3 linked regions of the Ovis aries genome follow. The main gene of each other region encodes a partner of the protein of the gene in region 2 in a complex. Links are inferred from orthologs where the notes say so. Each region holds a gene or a part of one and is shown on either strand. Other genes may lie near its edges.

Region 1 (3,803 bases), on a different chromosome or scaffold from region 2:
ATGGCCTCGTGCCTGCCTCCCTTCAGGCGATGTGAGCATTGGCATCAAGTGCGCCCCTGGCGTGGTGGGCCCTGCAGAGGCTGACATTGACTTTGACATCATTAAGAATGACAACGACACCTTCACAGTCAAGTACACACCTCCAGGGGCGGGCCGCTACACTATCATGGTGCTGTTTGCCAACCAGGTACCCTGTGCGTGGGTTTTGGTTATCAACCCTAACCTCAGCCCCTTACCCCATCCCAACCAGCAGCTTGAGAGGCTGTCATTTGGGGACAATTCTACTGCCCCTGATTGAGCACTTCCTGTGTGTGGACAACGTGCCTCAGAGGAAGCAAAAGAGACAAGGGACTCGATTCAGACACTGTCCATGTCCACCCTGACCAAGCCTTTTCTCCCTCCAGGAGATCCCCGCCAGCCCCTTCCACATCAAGGTGGACCCATCCCACGATGCCAGCAAGGTCAAGGCAGAGGGTCCTGGGCTGAACCGCACAGGTAGCTATCTGGGCTGTGCGGGGCTGGGCCGGGCCGGGCTGGGCTGGGCCGGGCTGGGCTGGATGGCCACCAATCCCTCACCACCATCTCGGGATGGGTGCTCCAGGTGTGGAAGTTGGGAAGCCCACTCACTTCACGGTGCTGACCAAGGGAGCTGGCAAGGCCAAGCTGGACGTGCACTTTGCCGGGGCCGCCAAGGGAGAAGCTGTGCGAGACTTCGAGATCATCGACAACCATGACTACTCCTACACCGTCAAGTACACGGCCGTGCAGCAGGTGTGCCCCGCCCCCCGGCCCTCCTGTCCTGGCTGACTGGGAGCGTGGAGCTCCTTCTTCCAGTCCCAGAGGGCCTGTTTGGGGTCTTGGCCCATTTCCTGCCTCCCCATCCTCTCTTGCCCTGGGTCTCTGAGCCTCTGGTCTGTGTCGCCGAGGACATGTTGGCAGTTCTGACGTCCTGCTGTACCCATTAGGGCAACATGGCGGTGACAGTGACCTATGGTGGAGACCCTGTCCCCAAGAGCCCCTTCGTGGTGAATGTGGCACCGCCGCTGGACCTCAGCAAAGTCAAGGTTCAAGGCCTCAACAGCAGTAAGTGGGGCAGGAGCTGCCCATGCAGTGAGGAGGGTTGAGGGGGGTGGTGGGTTGGAATCTCTGCTCACCGTGTCCCTCACCCTTCACACAGAGGTGGCTGTGGGGCAGGAACAGTCATTTTCTGTGAACACACGAGGGGCTGGCGGTCAGGGCCAGCTGGACGTGCGGATGACCTCTCCCTCCCGACGACCCATCCCCTGCAAGCTGGAGCCTGGCGGTGGAGCTGAGACCCAGGCGGTGCGGTACATGCCCCCTGAGGAGGGGCCCTACAAAGTGGACATCACCTATGATGGTCACCCAGTGCCTGGCAGCCCCTTCACCGTGGAGGGCGTCCTGCCCCCTGACCCCTCCAAGGTGAGGAAGTAGGGGTGGGTGGGAGCTGGGGGCTTGTAGGGAAGGTGGGTAGTTCACAGGGGCCGAGGCCAGAGGCCTCATGTCCTGGGGTGAGCACAGCCAAGGGCCCAGAGCCGAGGCAGTCCCCCAACTCAGGACTTGCCTATGAGACAGCTTAGTTTTTGTTTTTTATATTTTTATTAAAGTATAGTTGGTTTACAATGTTGTATTACTGCTGTACAGCAATGTGATTCGGTTATATATGCATACAAATGCATACATTACAAAATATTCTTTTCCATTATAGTTTATCACAGGATATTGAATATAGCTCTCTGTGCCATACAGTAGGACCTTGTTTATCTATTCCATATATAAAAACTCATATCAAGACAGCTTAGTTATTTAGAACCTGGCCTTGGATCTGATCTGGGCTTCAATCCCAAGTCCATCAGCCAGGACAAAGGTTTTAATCTCCCTGCGTTTCCTCACCTGGAATTGTAATCAGGACTCAGCCTGTGGGAGCTGCTATAGTTGCGAGTGCTTAGCTGATTTGGGAACCACGAAGGCTGGACGTGGGAACAGTCGAGGTAACCCACACACCTGCTCCTTCTTTTAGGTCTGTGCTTACGGCCCTGGTCTCAAGGGCGGGCTGGTAGGTACACCAGCTCCCTTCTCCATCGACACCAAGGGAGCGGGCACCGGTGGCCTGGGGTTGACCGTGGAGGGCCCCTGCGAGGCCAAGATCGAGTGCCAGGACAATGGGGATGGATCCTGTGCCGTCAGCTACCTGCCCACAGAGCCGGGCGAGTACACTATCAACATCCTGTTTGCCGAAGCCCACATCCCCGGCTCGCCCTTCAAGGCTACCATCCGGCCCGTGTTTGACCCGAGCAAGGTGCGGGCCAGCGGGCCAGGCCTGGAGCGCGGCAAGGCTGGGGAGGCGGCCACCTTCACTGTGGACTGCTCGGAGGCGGGCGAGGCCGAGCTGACCATTGAGATCCTGTCGGACGCCGGCGTCAAGGCCGAGGTGCTGATCCACAACAACGCGGACGGCACCTACCACATCACCTACAGCCCCGCCTTCCCCGGCACCTACACCATTACCATCAAGTACGGCGGGCACCCTGTACCCAAGTTCCCCACCCGCGTTCACGTGCAGCCCGCGGTCGACACCAGCGGGGTCAAGGTCTCAGGGCCCGGTGTGGAGCCGCATGGTGAGTGGGAGAAACCTGGAGCTGGTCACGTCACCGGTCAGGGGAAGAGGGAAGCAGGGCTGAGGGCTTAGAGGGCAGCGCTGGCGTCCCGGGGGCTCAGACACCCCTGAGAAGGTATCAAAGCCAAGGGCAGGGTGTGGGGCTTTGCCTTGGTCTGGGTGGCAAGGTTGCTTCTGCCTGTGGCCATTTTCCTCGGGAGATCCTCAACTTTCATCAGCCGATCTGAAAATCAAAGAATCTTGCACTTGATGGTACAGAGGGAAGGCTTTGGGGTCGAGGGCGACGAGAGTCAGGAGATGGTTCAGCTCAGTTCAGTGACTGAGTTACCATCTGCTGGGGGCCAGACCCTGGGCCAGGCAGGAGGGGGCATGCAGAGGGTTGCAAGAGCCAGCCCCATGCTCCAGGGGCCCACAGCTGGGTGGGGAGACTCAGGTGAGCAGAATGTCACTATCTGCTGAAGGGAGGGAGGACAGGGGCTGTGGGAGGCAGGGCCTGGGCTGTGGGGATGGTCCAGGCTGGGGAGTAGCAGGTGGAGAGGAGCCGCCTCGGAGCTGGGGAGGGAGGGCAGGGGTGGGCAGCCGGGTGAGGGCTGAGCACTCGTCTCCTGGGACCCAGGTGTCCTGCGTGAAGTGACCACCGAGTTCACTGTGGACGCGAGATCCCTGACAGCCACGGGTGGGAACCACGTGACGGCTCGCGTGCTCAACCCCTCGGGCGCTAAGACGGACACCTACGTGACCGACAACGGGGACGGCACCTACCGCGTGCAGTACACGGCCTACGAAGAGGGTGAGGGGCTTGGCTGGGCGGGGATGGCGGGGGTCTGGCCCCAGCGTTTTCAGAGGGGCGGGTGGTGGGGGCCGCGCACACTCTGACCTGCGCCGTGCGGCTGACTTCCAGGAGCACACTTGGTGGAGGTGCTGTACGATGACGTGGCAGTGCCCAAGAGCCCCTTCCGGGTGGGCGTGACTGAGGGCTGTGACCCCACCCGTGTCCGGGCCTTTGGGCCAGGCCTGGAGGGGGGCTTGGTCAACAAGGCTAACCGCTTCACCGTGGAAACCAGGTACGCCTGCCCCTTTCATAACCTTGACCCTGATGCTGTGGTTACACTGAGCCCAGCCACCTGCCCTCCCCCCTCATCCTCCTGTGTGTACCTCATCCCCACCC
Region 2 (3,903 bases):
TGCAGTGGCCAGGGTTCAATCCCTTGTCGGGGAACTAAGATCCCACAAGCTGCACGGTACAGGCAAAACAAACAAACGAAAAGACTGTTATGTCTTGCACTCCCCCGTGGATACTATTCCATGCTATGCTTAGTTACTCAGTCATGTCCGACTCTTTGCGACCCCATGGACTGTAGCCCTCCAAGCTCCTCTGTCCTTGGGGATTCTCCAGGCAAGAATACTGGAATGAGTTGCCATGCCCTCCTCCAGGGGATCTTCCCAGCTCAGGGATCAAACCCAGGTCTCCCACGTTGCAGGCAGATTCTTTACCGTCTGGGCCACTGGGGAAGCCCCTGTGGATACCAGGACTGGTGACACCTGACTTGATTCTCGTGGGCTCCGTGACTCGAGCTGAGCACACAGCAGGTGCTCAACTGCTCTTTGGGTAGGAGGTTCCCCAGCAGACTGGACAGCGGCAAATGTCCCCACTGCCCTAAATCTTACTCTCCAGCCTCTCACCCACGTTCCCTGCCATGCAGGGTCTCAGCTTGTTGTTCAGGCTCTCAGTCATTTCTGATTCTTTGTGACTCCATGGACTGCAGCACACCAGGCTTCCCTGTCCTTCACCATCTAGAGTTTGCTCAGACTCATGTCCGTTGAGTCGGTAATGCCATCCAATCATCTTATCCTCTGTTGTCCCCTTCTCCTTTTGCCCCCAGTCTTTCCCAACGTCAGGATCTTTTCCAATGAGTCAGCCCTCTGCATCAAGTGGCCAAAGTATTGGAGCTTCAGCATCAGTCCTCCCAATGAATATAGTCCTTCTATAGGGTCTCGGCTGCTGCAAACCTAACAGATCGAATCTTTTTGCTCAGTGGCTTAGGAGAAAGCTGTTCCAGGCTGGCAGGACAGGAGGAGGGGAGCAGAGCCTCTAAGCTGGCAGACAAAGGGCGTGTGTTCTTATCCAGTGCACTTCCTGGGTTTCCATTGCAGGAAGCCGGGCACCTGCCGAGGTGACACAGACACCAAGGCTGGCGCTAGACTCCCTTGTCCGGGACGCTCCTCTCCCCCCGGGAGCAGCAGCAGAGGTGGGAAAGAGGTGCTGGACAGTTGGTAAGTGGCAGCAGCTGGACTCCACATTCCCCTTGGACCTGCCCTCTTCCAAGCCAGTCTTAGCTTAGCAGCAGGGAAGGCTTAGATCCTGCTTGGAGTCAGTGAGACCTTAGGCCCCACATCAACCTCACTGTCCCACCTGGAGGTGTGGTAGGTGCTTAGGGGAGGTATCATGGAGGTGAGGGGAAGGTAGCAACATTTTTATTTGCTTTAAATAAGCTTCTGAGTCACAATGCACTTTAAAAGGGAGTTCTATGGCTAAAAGGGTCTGAAAACCCCTGGATCAAACCTTCTTCCTTAGGGTCCTTCCCATGGCTGGCATCCAGTGGATTTTTCCTTCCTCCTGGGGAAGGTATAGAGATCTTGTTCCAAGGGGTGCTTGCAAAGGGAGGTAACCTTGTCAAGCAGGGGAATGACCCTGACCACGGGCTCAGGCAGCCTTGAGTGCGAGTCTCTCTCTGCTGAAAAGAGAGGGAGTCACCTGTCTTTGCAGCTTGAAGGGTGGCAGTCTCGCCAGCCGCTGGGACCTGCAGGGTGGCGTGTGTACCCAGGGGCACCTGCTGCTGTGGGTTGGAATCCAGCTCTGCCATTTGCCTCTTGTGTCGGCTTTGAGCCTCTCTGTGCCTCAGTTTCCTCATCTGTGAAGCAGGAATAATCAGCCTTTTCCCATAGGGCTCTCCCGGGAATTAAATGGAAAGGTCTGCAGGCCGAGCATCAGATAGGAAGCCCCTATGAACAGCAGCTACTGTTACTACTGTCGTTATTACAGGACTGGCTGTGAGGATGGAAAGGAAAAAGGGATGCAGAGCAGGATGGGAGAGGTGACCAAACACGAGTGAGGGATTTAGGGAGGCAGGGTGGGGGAGGAAGAGAAGCACAGGACAGGGTGTTCAGCGCCCCCCACCAGCCCCCAGAAGCATGACCCCCAAGAACAGCCCCAGAGCCCTCCAGCCAGCAGCGTGACTGCAGCTTTGGGCCCACAGAGGAGAGCCAGACCCTACCTGGCCTCCCTGCAGACGGTGCCGGCCCCAGCACTCCCCTGGCCTCCGCCACTGTGGCTTTAATCAAAAGAGCAATCTGTTTGCCTCTGAATCAGACCCAGATTCCTTTTCCCAGCAATGTTCCCTGGGCCTCCAGGGACTCAGGCGGCCCATCCAGGCTCCATCTCCTGCCCCAGAGCCCAGGCTGGGCTTCTCCCTCCCCATTCCACGTTTGGGGGACAGAGGAGCAGGAGGCTGGAGCAGTGGAGGGGTCAGATGCCGGGTCCAGCGTGGCAAACCGGGTAATCTGATTGCCAGCGAGGCCCTGTCTACCAGGCTTCCCGGAGGACCCTGTCCCCCCAGGACTCTGGGGACCCACCTGCAGAAGGCGTTAGGGGCCAGACAGGTCATTAGCCCCATTTTAGAGGCGAAGAAACTGAGGCTCAAGAAGGTGGAATGAATGCCTAGTGTCACAGGATTAGTGAGCGTCCGGGGAATCCAGGTCCCACCCGATCCTTAAGACCGTGGGAGATCCCAGGCCAAACTGGTGGGGCCACCACCCCAGGCGACCTCGGGGAGGGGGTTGGGGGAGGAGCACTCTGGGTTCACAAAGGACGAGGAGAGTGGGCACCCGAGGAGGCCGCCCACCCTCCAGGCCTGGGCCCAGGGGAAGGGAGGAGGGGTCGAGGGAACAAAGGGAACGGGGAGGGGGCGGCGCGGGGCGCGGCCGGCAGGTGGGGGGGCAGGTAGGGGCCGCTTCCGCCCGGCCGCGAGCCCGGGCCCCCTCCCCCAAGCTTCACCTTTTATGGTAAGGCGGCCGCGGCGGCGGGGCGGAGGGAGCCGAGGGGGCGGGGAGGGCGGAGGGGGCGGGAGGCGCCGCGCCGCTCCTGGCTCTGCTCGATCGGGTGACCGACCGGAGCCGCAGGGGGCGCGGGCGGCTCAGGTAAGCGGAGCGGGGGGGGGGGGGGGGGTCCCGTCCTGCCGTCCGCGCCCCCGGCTACACACAGGTGACAGCGCGGGCAGCCCCTGGCCGGCGCGCAGCCCTGCTCCCCGGCCCGGACCCCAACTCCGGCGCTCCCAGGGGGGCCCGCGGGGCTGGGGGCCGGGGGTGCGGGTCTCTGCTCCCCGGGCGGAGGGAGGGCGGGTCTGGAGGCAGCGCGGACGTCCCTGCCGCGGAGCGGCTCGCGGAGAGAAGCGGTAGAAGCAGGGCGGGAGCTCCCGCACAAAGAGGACAGCGTCCCGCACACGGATCGAACTAAAGTCCCCGGCGGCGCCCCACCGTGACCCTGCCAGCCGCCCCGCCTGGCTGCTTGCGGGAGGGCGCCGGGCTTCCCAAGGCCCTGGAAGCTCCGGGCCTCTTGCCCCAGCCGGGGTTAGGCGAGGGGCAGGAGGGGCCGCGGAACTGCCCCTCTCTGGGCCTCATATCCTCTGGGGGGGGGGTTGGTGCTGGGAAGGGGTGGGGCTGAGCTATTCCCAGGGTATGTGCCTGGGGCGCCCTGCCCTGAGTCCTCCTCCAGCCCAGAATCTGAGGACCCCGCGGAGAGACTGGGCAGCGCCCGGATCCCTGTTCTTCTCATTGATGGAAGCCAACTCCTGGTCTTCTCAGGGCCCCGGGGGTTCCGCCTCTCCTGAGGTACTGAGTAACTATCCGCTTTCTCTTGGCACCTACCCAGTACCAAGATCTTGAGCACCCCCTCTTCTTTTATGCTCTCAGCCACCCTTCCAAAAAGACCTCATTATTTCCACTCTTTGAAATAACAGAGGCCCAGAGAGGTTCAGTGACCTGCTTAGGGTGGCCCAGCAGGAAAGAGGTGGGGTTGGGGATGAACTCAGC
Region 3 (3,903 bases), on a different chromosome or scaffold from region 2:
CACTTCCTTTCTGCTACCCCAGCTATTGTACACTGATTCCCATTGCAATGCCTCTGGCAGGTGGGTGTCCCTCCTTGAAGGATAGCCTTGGCCATGAGCTACCTTGTGGACCTAAACTGAGACTGCTCATCTATCAAGGGAGGATAACCCACTGCCGTGAGGGGCGGAGGGGTGGATCCCACTAGATGGGGCGGGGAGAAACAGAGACCGAGGCCACTGCTAGGCGATCTCACCTGGGGTCAAGGTGGAGAGGTCATTGCCAACAAAGGCAGCAGTGGCTGCGGAGAGGCCTGGAGGGCAATCAGTGCCTTCCTGTTAGTGTGCAGCTGTAGATATCAAACTACGTTAGCAGGTGACAGCAGACTTCTCCTTTCTTCCCCCCTGTTCCTTCCTGCTTCTCCCCTTTTGCCTCCCTCCCTCCCTTCTTTTTGGAGAAGGAAATGGCAACCCACTCCAGTGTTCTTGCCTGGAGAATCCCAGGGACGGCGGAGCCTGGTGGGCTGCTGTCTATGGGGTCACACAGAATCAGACACGACTGAAGCGACTTAGCAGCAGCAGCAGCTCCCTTCTTTGCTTTTTCTCCTTTAATGAAGTAGAATAAAAGAAGAAAGATCAGAGTGCTTTTCAGGTGGTAAGGGACAGTCTCACTTCGTGGAACGTTTATTTCAGCCATTTGTGTCGATCTGCGTGTGTGCCTGCAAATATTGGCTCAGGATGTAAGATGCAGTTCTTTGTGGGGGTTGTGGGCACAGTGAGAAGACACTGCTTTGTGTGGCTTTCCCCGAGGAAGTGACATTTGAGCTGAATACGACGCTGTTAATACCAGGAAATGGGCACACAGAAGACGAAGAGGGAGCCTGGCAGTGCCAGGGTGTGGCTGTGCCCACCTAGTTCCCCAGACGCTTGGCTCCTCGGCTGCACCCCACTGTCCATGCCCAGGCCTCAGGACTGCAGCTAACTGTGCTGCTGAGAATTCAGTCCACTTCTGTTGCTTGCTTCCAGGCCAGGCCTGGCACTGGGCAGGGGCCAAACCCATGCCAGCCCGGGATGTTGTTTGGCTTGTCTTGGGGCTCAGGTCCCTGCCCCCGTGCAGACTTTCAGGTGGGAGGCTCTCAGTGCATACCTGCTAGAGCCTGTTGCACTTCCCCCTCCAAGGTAGAATCCAACTAGTCCGACCAGCCCCAGGCTTGGGGTAAAGGTAGGGGGGCGGCGCAAGACTGGGCAGCTCCCTGGAGGAGGTGGCCTTCGTTGCTGGGCCGAGACGCAGGCTCTGCAGACCCTCCGGGCCGCCCCTCCCCGTCAGCAGAGGGTGAGCTCATCTCAACGGGGGTAGGGGGGCGTCGCCGGCTGCCCAGGCGCCTGAGCTCACGGCGCGCCCCCGCGGGGCCCCCCCTCGAAACCCCCCCCCCGCCCCGCTCCTGGGTGATTTTTACCAATTAAGGCTTTCTCGTCGGGCCGAGTCGGGCCGGGTGCGGGGCGGGGGTGCGGCCAACAAGAAGGCGGGCGGCAGCGGCCCATTCGCGTGGAGGCGCCCGGCGCGCAGCAGACGCCAGCAGAGCCCCGAGGCGCCAGGCGCGGGCTCGAAGATCTGCCAGGCGCCACCCCGCGGCCGCCGGCCGCCCGCAGGGAGAGAAGGTGAGGCGTCCGCGGCGGGCACCGGGCGGAGCGGTTGGCGGGCACCGAGCAGAGTGGTCGGCGGGCAGCTCACGGAGTTGGTGGTGGGGTGCCCGGGGCCAGCTGCAAGCCGGGGTGTGGTGGTGCAGCCGCCTTCCCTGGTTTCCTGGGGAATCTGGGTCTGGCCCCGCAGTGTGAGAGCCCAACAGCCATGGGGGTGCCCTGGGAGGGTGAACTGGGGGGCAGGTCATTGCATGACTGTCCAGGAAGGCAGGGCTCTGAAGCAGGACGTTGTGTGGGGTCAGGGCGAGAGGCCACCTGGAAAGACACTTTGCAGCCAATATGCCCCCAGGAGGGATGTCGACGGTCGGTTCCTCCCTGACATCAGTGCTCTGGGCATTGGCTGCGTTGGGTAGAGGTGTGGGGCTGGCTTCTGGGCTGCTGCGCTCCACTGGGGCGAGGGCACATGGGGTTGGCCATGCTAGATTCGAGGCTGGGCCCTGTCCCAGGTTGGCTCTGAGCTGGATGTTCACTGCCAGGCAGGATGTGAAGGCCAGCCCCCCACCCCCACCCACCCCAATTCCTGGGCCAGGAGGAGTAGGTGACGGCCGCTGGGAGACCCACCTGCACGGGCTCCTAGCAGCGCAGTCAAGGTGGGAATTCAGCCCTGGAGCGTTGTCAGCCTGCCTGCCACACCTGGGCTTGGGCAGCCTCTCCTGCCACCCTGTGCCTCTCTTTCACCAGCCGTGGGAGGGCCTGGCTTGGGGTCTGAGGGAAGGAGTTGGGGTGGGAGGCGGGGTGTGTCTAACAACATCCAAGAAATCGACTCCAAATAAGGGAAAATATGAAAGAGCTGTATTTCAGCTTCCAGGGACTGCCCTATCTGGGGGCTTTGGGATGGGGCGCCACCTGGTGGTGATACTATGTCCCCTGGGGACAAGAACTCGTTAGAGCCCCATCTCTTATCACCCCCCAAATAGGGAAGAAGCCTAAGGCTGGCAGCCAGGGCTTCTGTCCCCCTTTCTGCTGGAGTTGGCTGCTGGTTACTGACGCTGACTCAGTTTCCCTGCTCTCTGCAGATTAAGAAAAGAACACAGATAATGCAACTGGATGGCACTTGTCAAGTGACAATGAACTCTCAGTATGATTCTCTCCTTGGGGGACTGGCTCTTCAGGGGGGCAGGGGATCAGAAGGATGGCTCTCATCTCTGCTTGGGTGGGGCCTGCTAGGGAGGAGTCTGCACGGGTCCCCCTCTACTGCTGTCACTCCCACCTCCATCCCAGTCCCCAGACACCATGGTGTGGAATTTTGCGCAGGTGTGTCTAAAGTGGTCAGGCCTTTAGACTGAAAAATGTCACTGGTGAGCAAAAACCAGTGTGGGGTACCAGGCAGCCCCAAAGAGAGCATGCTGGAGGCCAGGTGCTGACTGCAGCCCCACTGTGGGTGACACAGTCCCCAGGGCTGTGAGAGTTGGCCTTATTTGGGCATGCTGACCTAGGGGCTTCTTTCCCACTGGTCTTTAGCAGAGAACTGAGGTACTGCTAGTAGGAAGCTCGATCTAAGTACGAAGCAGGAGGGACAGAGACATGCCTTTCTGGGGGAAAAAAAAAAAAAGATGTGAAGAAGGGAACATCCTGCAGAGGGGAAGGACACAGGACCGAGGGAAGTGAGTCCACTCTGGGGACGAAGCCACCAGTAGGCTGGCTTCTCCAGACTGAAGAAGGTGGCAGTGACTGTCCCTGACAGGCCTCTTGCTTCTGTGCCTTTGTTGGTCTTAGTATCCCCCCCATAGTCTCCAGTTATCTACAAGAAAATGTATTTTGAGCGAATAGGTCCCCAGTACCCAGTCCTGGCTCCACGGCAGGCCCCAGCTGCCTTTCATGGTTTGCCCCCCCTCAGTCCCCTGGCCCCCCTGTCCGGGAGGCCTCCTCTGTTCTCCCACGACCCCGAAGCCCACTGAGACCCAGGTGCTCAGAGTGCATTATCGGAAGCCCGGGGCAGGTCCCTCTGGCAGCCTCCTGGGTCACGCTGGGCTCAGGGGCCATCCCAGCCACGGAGGGGAAGCCCCTCGCGCCTCTGGTAGACTGCCGGTGGGTGAGGCAGGCTTACCCGCCATCTCTGCATGCATCGCATCACAGGGCACCCCGTGCCAGTGCCCATTGGCATGCCCAGGCCCCTTCCAAGGCTGCTGGCTCCTGGAGCGCCGGTGGCCTCCTGGCCCAGTGCCCCATTTCCTCTGGGGTGCAGGGGGGAGGGAGGGAGGCGGTTGGGACCGGCGGGCGCAGGCC

The links.
Region 1: the proteins of FBLIM1 (region 2) and FLNC are in contact, whole or in part, in an NMR structure (PDB 2K9U), measured with the Homo sapiens proteins. The link is inferred for Ovis aries from reciprocal best matches to the Homo sapiens genes FBLIM1 and FLNC. Residues at the interface, in NP_001337080.1 of Homo sapiens: Arg8, Val9, Ala10, Ser11, Ser12, Val13, Phe14, Ile15, Thr16, Leu17, Pro19; in NP_001449.3 of Homo sapiens: Thr2339, Ala2344, Gly2345, Gly2346, Leu2347, Ser2348, Ile2349, Ala2350, Val2351, Glu2352, Gly2353, Pro2354, Ser2355, Lys2356, Ile2359, Phe2361, Asp2380, Glu2382, Phe2387.
Region 3: the proteins of FBLIM1 (region 2) and FLNA are in contact, whole or in part, in a crystal structure (PDB 4P3W), measured with the Homo sapiens proteins. The link is inferred for Ovis aries from reciprocal best matches to the Homo sapiens genes FBLIM1 and FLNA. Residues at the interface, in NP_001337080.1 of Homo sapiens: Lys7, Arg8, Val9, Ala10, Ser11, Ser12, Val13, Phe14, Ile15, Thr16, Leu17, Ala18, Pro19, Pro20; in NP_001104026.1 of Homo sapiens: Met2207, Gly2208, Thr2263, Arg2264, Gly2267, Ala2268, Gly2269, Gly2270, Leu2271, Ala2272, Ile2273, Ala2274, Val2275, Glu2276, Gly2277, Pro2278, Ser2279, Lys2280, Ala2281, Ile2283, Phe2285, Cys2293, Glu2306, Phe2311.

Annotation. Positions count from the first base shown.
Region 1 is NC_056057.1:94,508,505-94,512,307, forward strand, and holds part of FLNC (filamin-C), read left to right. Parts: intron 1-26; coding exon 27-187; intron 188-404; coding exon 405-495; intron 496-601; coding exon 602-771; intron 772-965; coding exon 966-1,083; intron 1,084-1,177; coding exon 1,178-1,440; intron 1,441-2,038; coding exon 2,039-2,636; intron 2,637-3,251; coding exon 3,252-3,425; intron 3,426-3,536; coding exon 3,537-3,699; intron 3,700-3,803.
Region 2 is NC_056065.1:51,111,905-51,115,807, reverse strand, and holds the start of FBLIM1 (filamin-binding LIM protein 1), read left to right. Parts: upstream 1-1,154; 5' UTR 1,155-2,207; coding exon 2,208-2,371; intron 2,372-2,665; exon of another isoform or gene 2,666-2,877; intron 2,878-2,947; exon of another isoform or gene 2,948-3,702; intron 3,703-3,903. UniProt on the Homo sapiens protein: Serves as an anchoring site for cell-ECM adhesion proteins and filamin-containing actin filaments. Is implicated in cell shape modulation (spreading) and motility.
Region 3 is NC_056080.1:80,076,319-80,080,221, forward strand, and holds the start of FLNA (filamin-A), read left to right. Parts: upstream 1-1,520; 5' UTR 1,521-1,635; intron 1,636-3,903. UniProt on the Homo sapiens protein: Promotes orthogonal branching of actin filaments and links actin filaments to membrane glycoproteins. Anchors various transmembrane proteins to the actin cytoskeleton and serves as a scaffold for a wide range of cytoplasmic signaling proteins.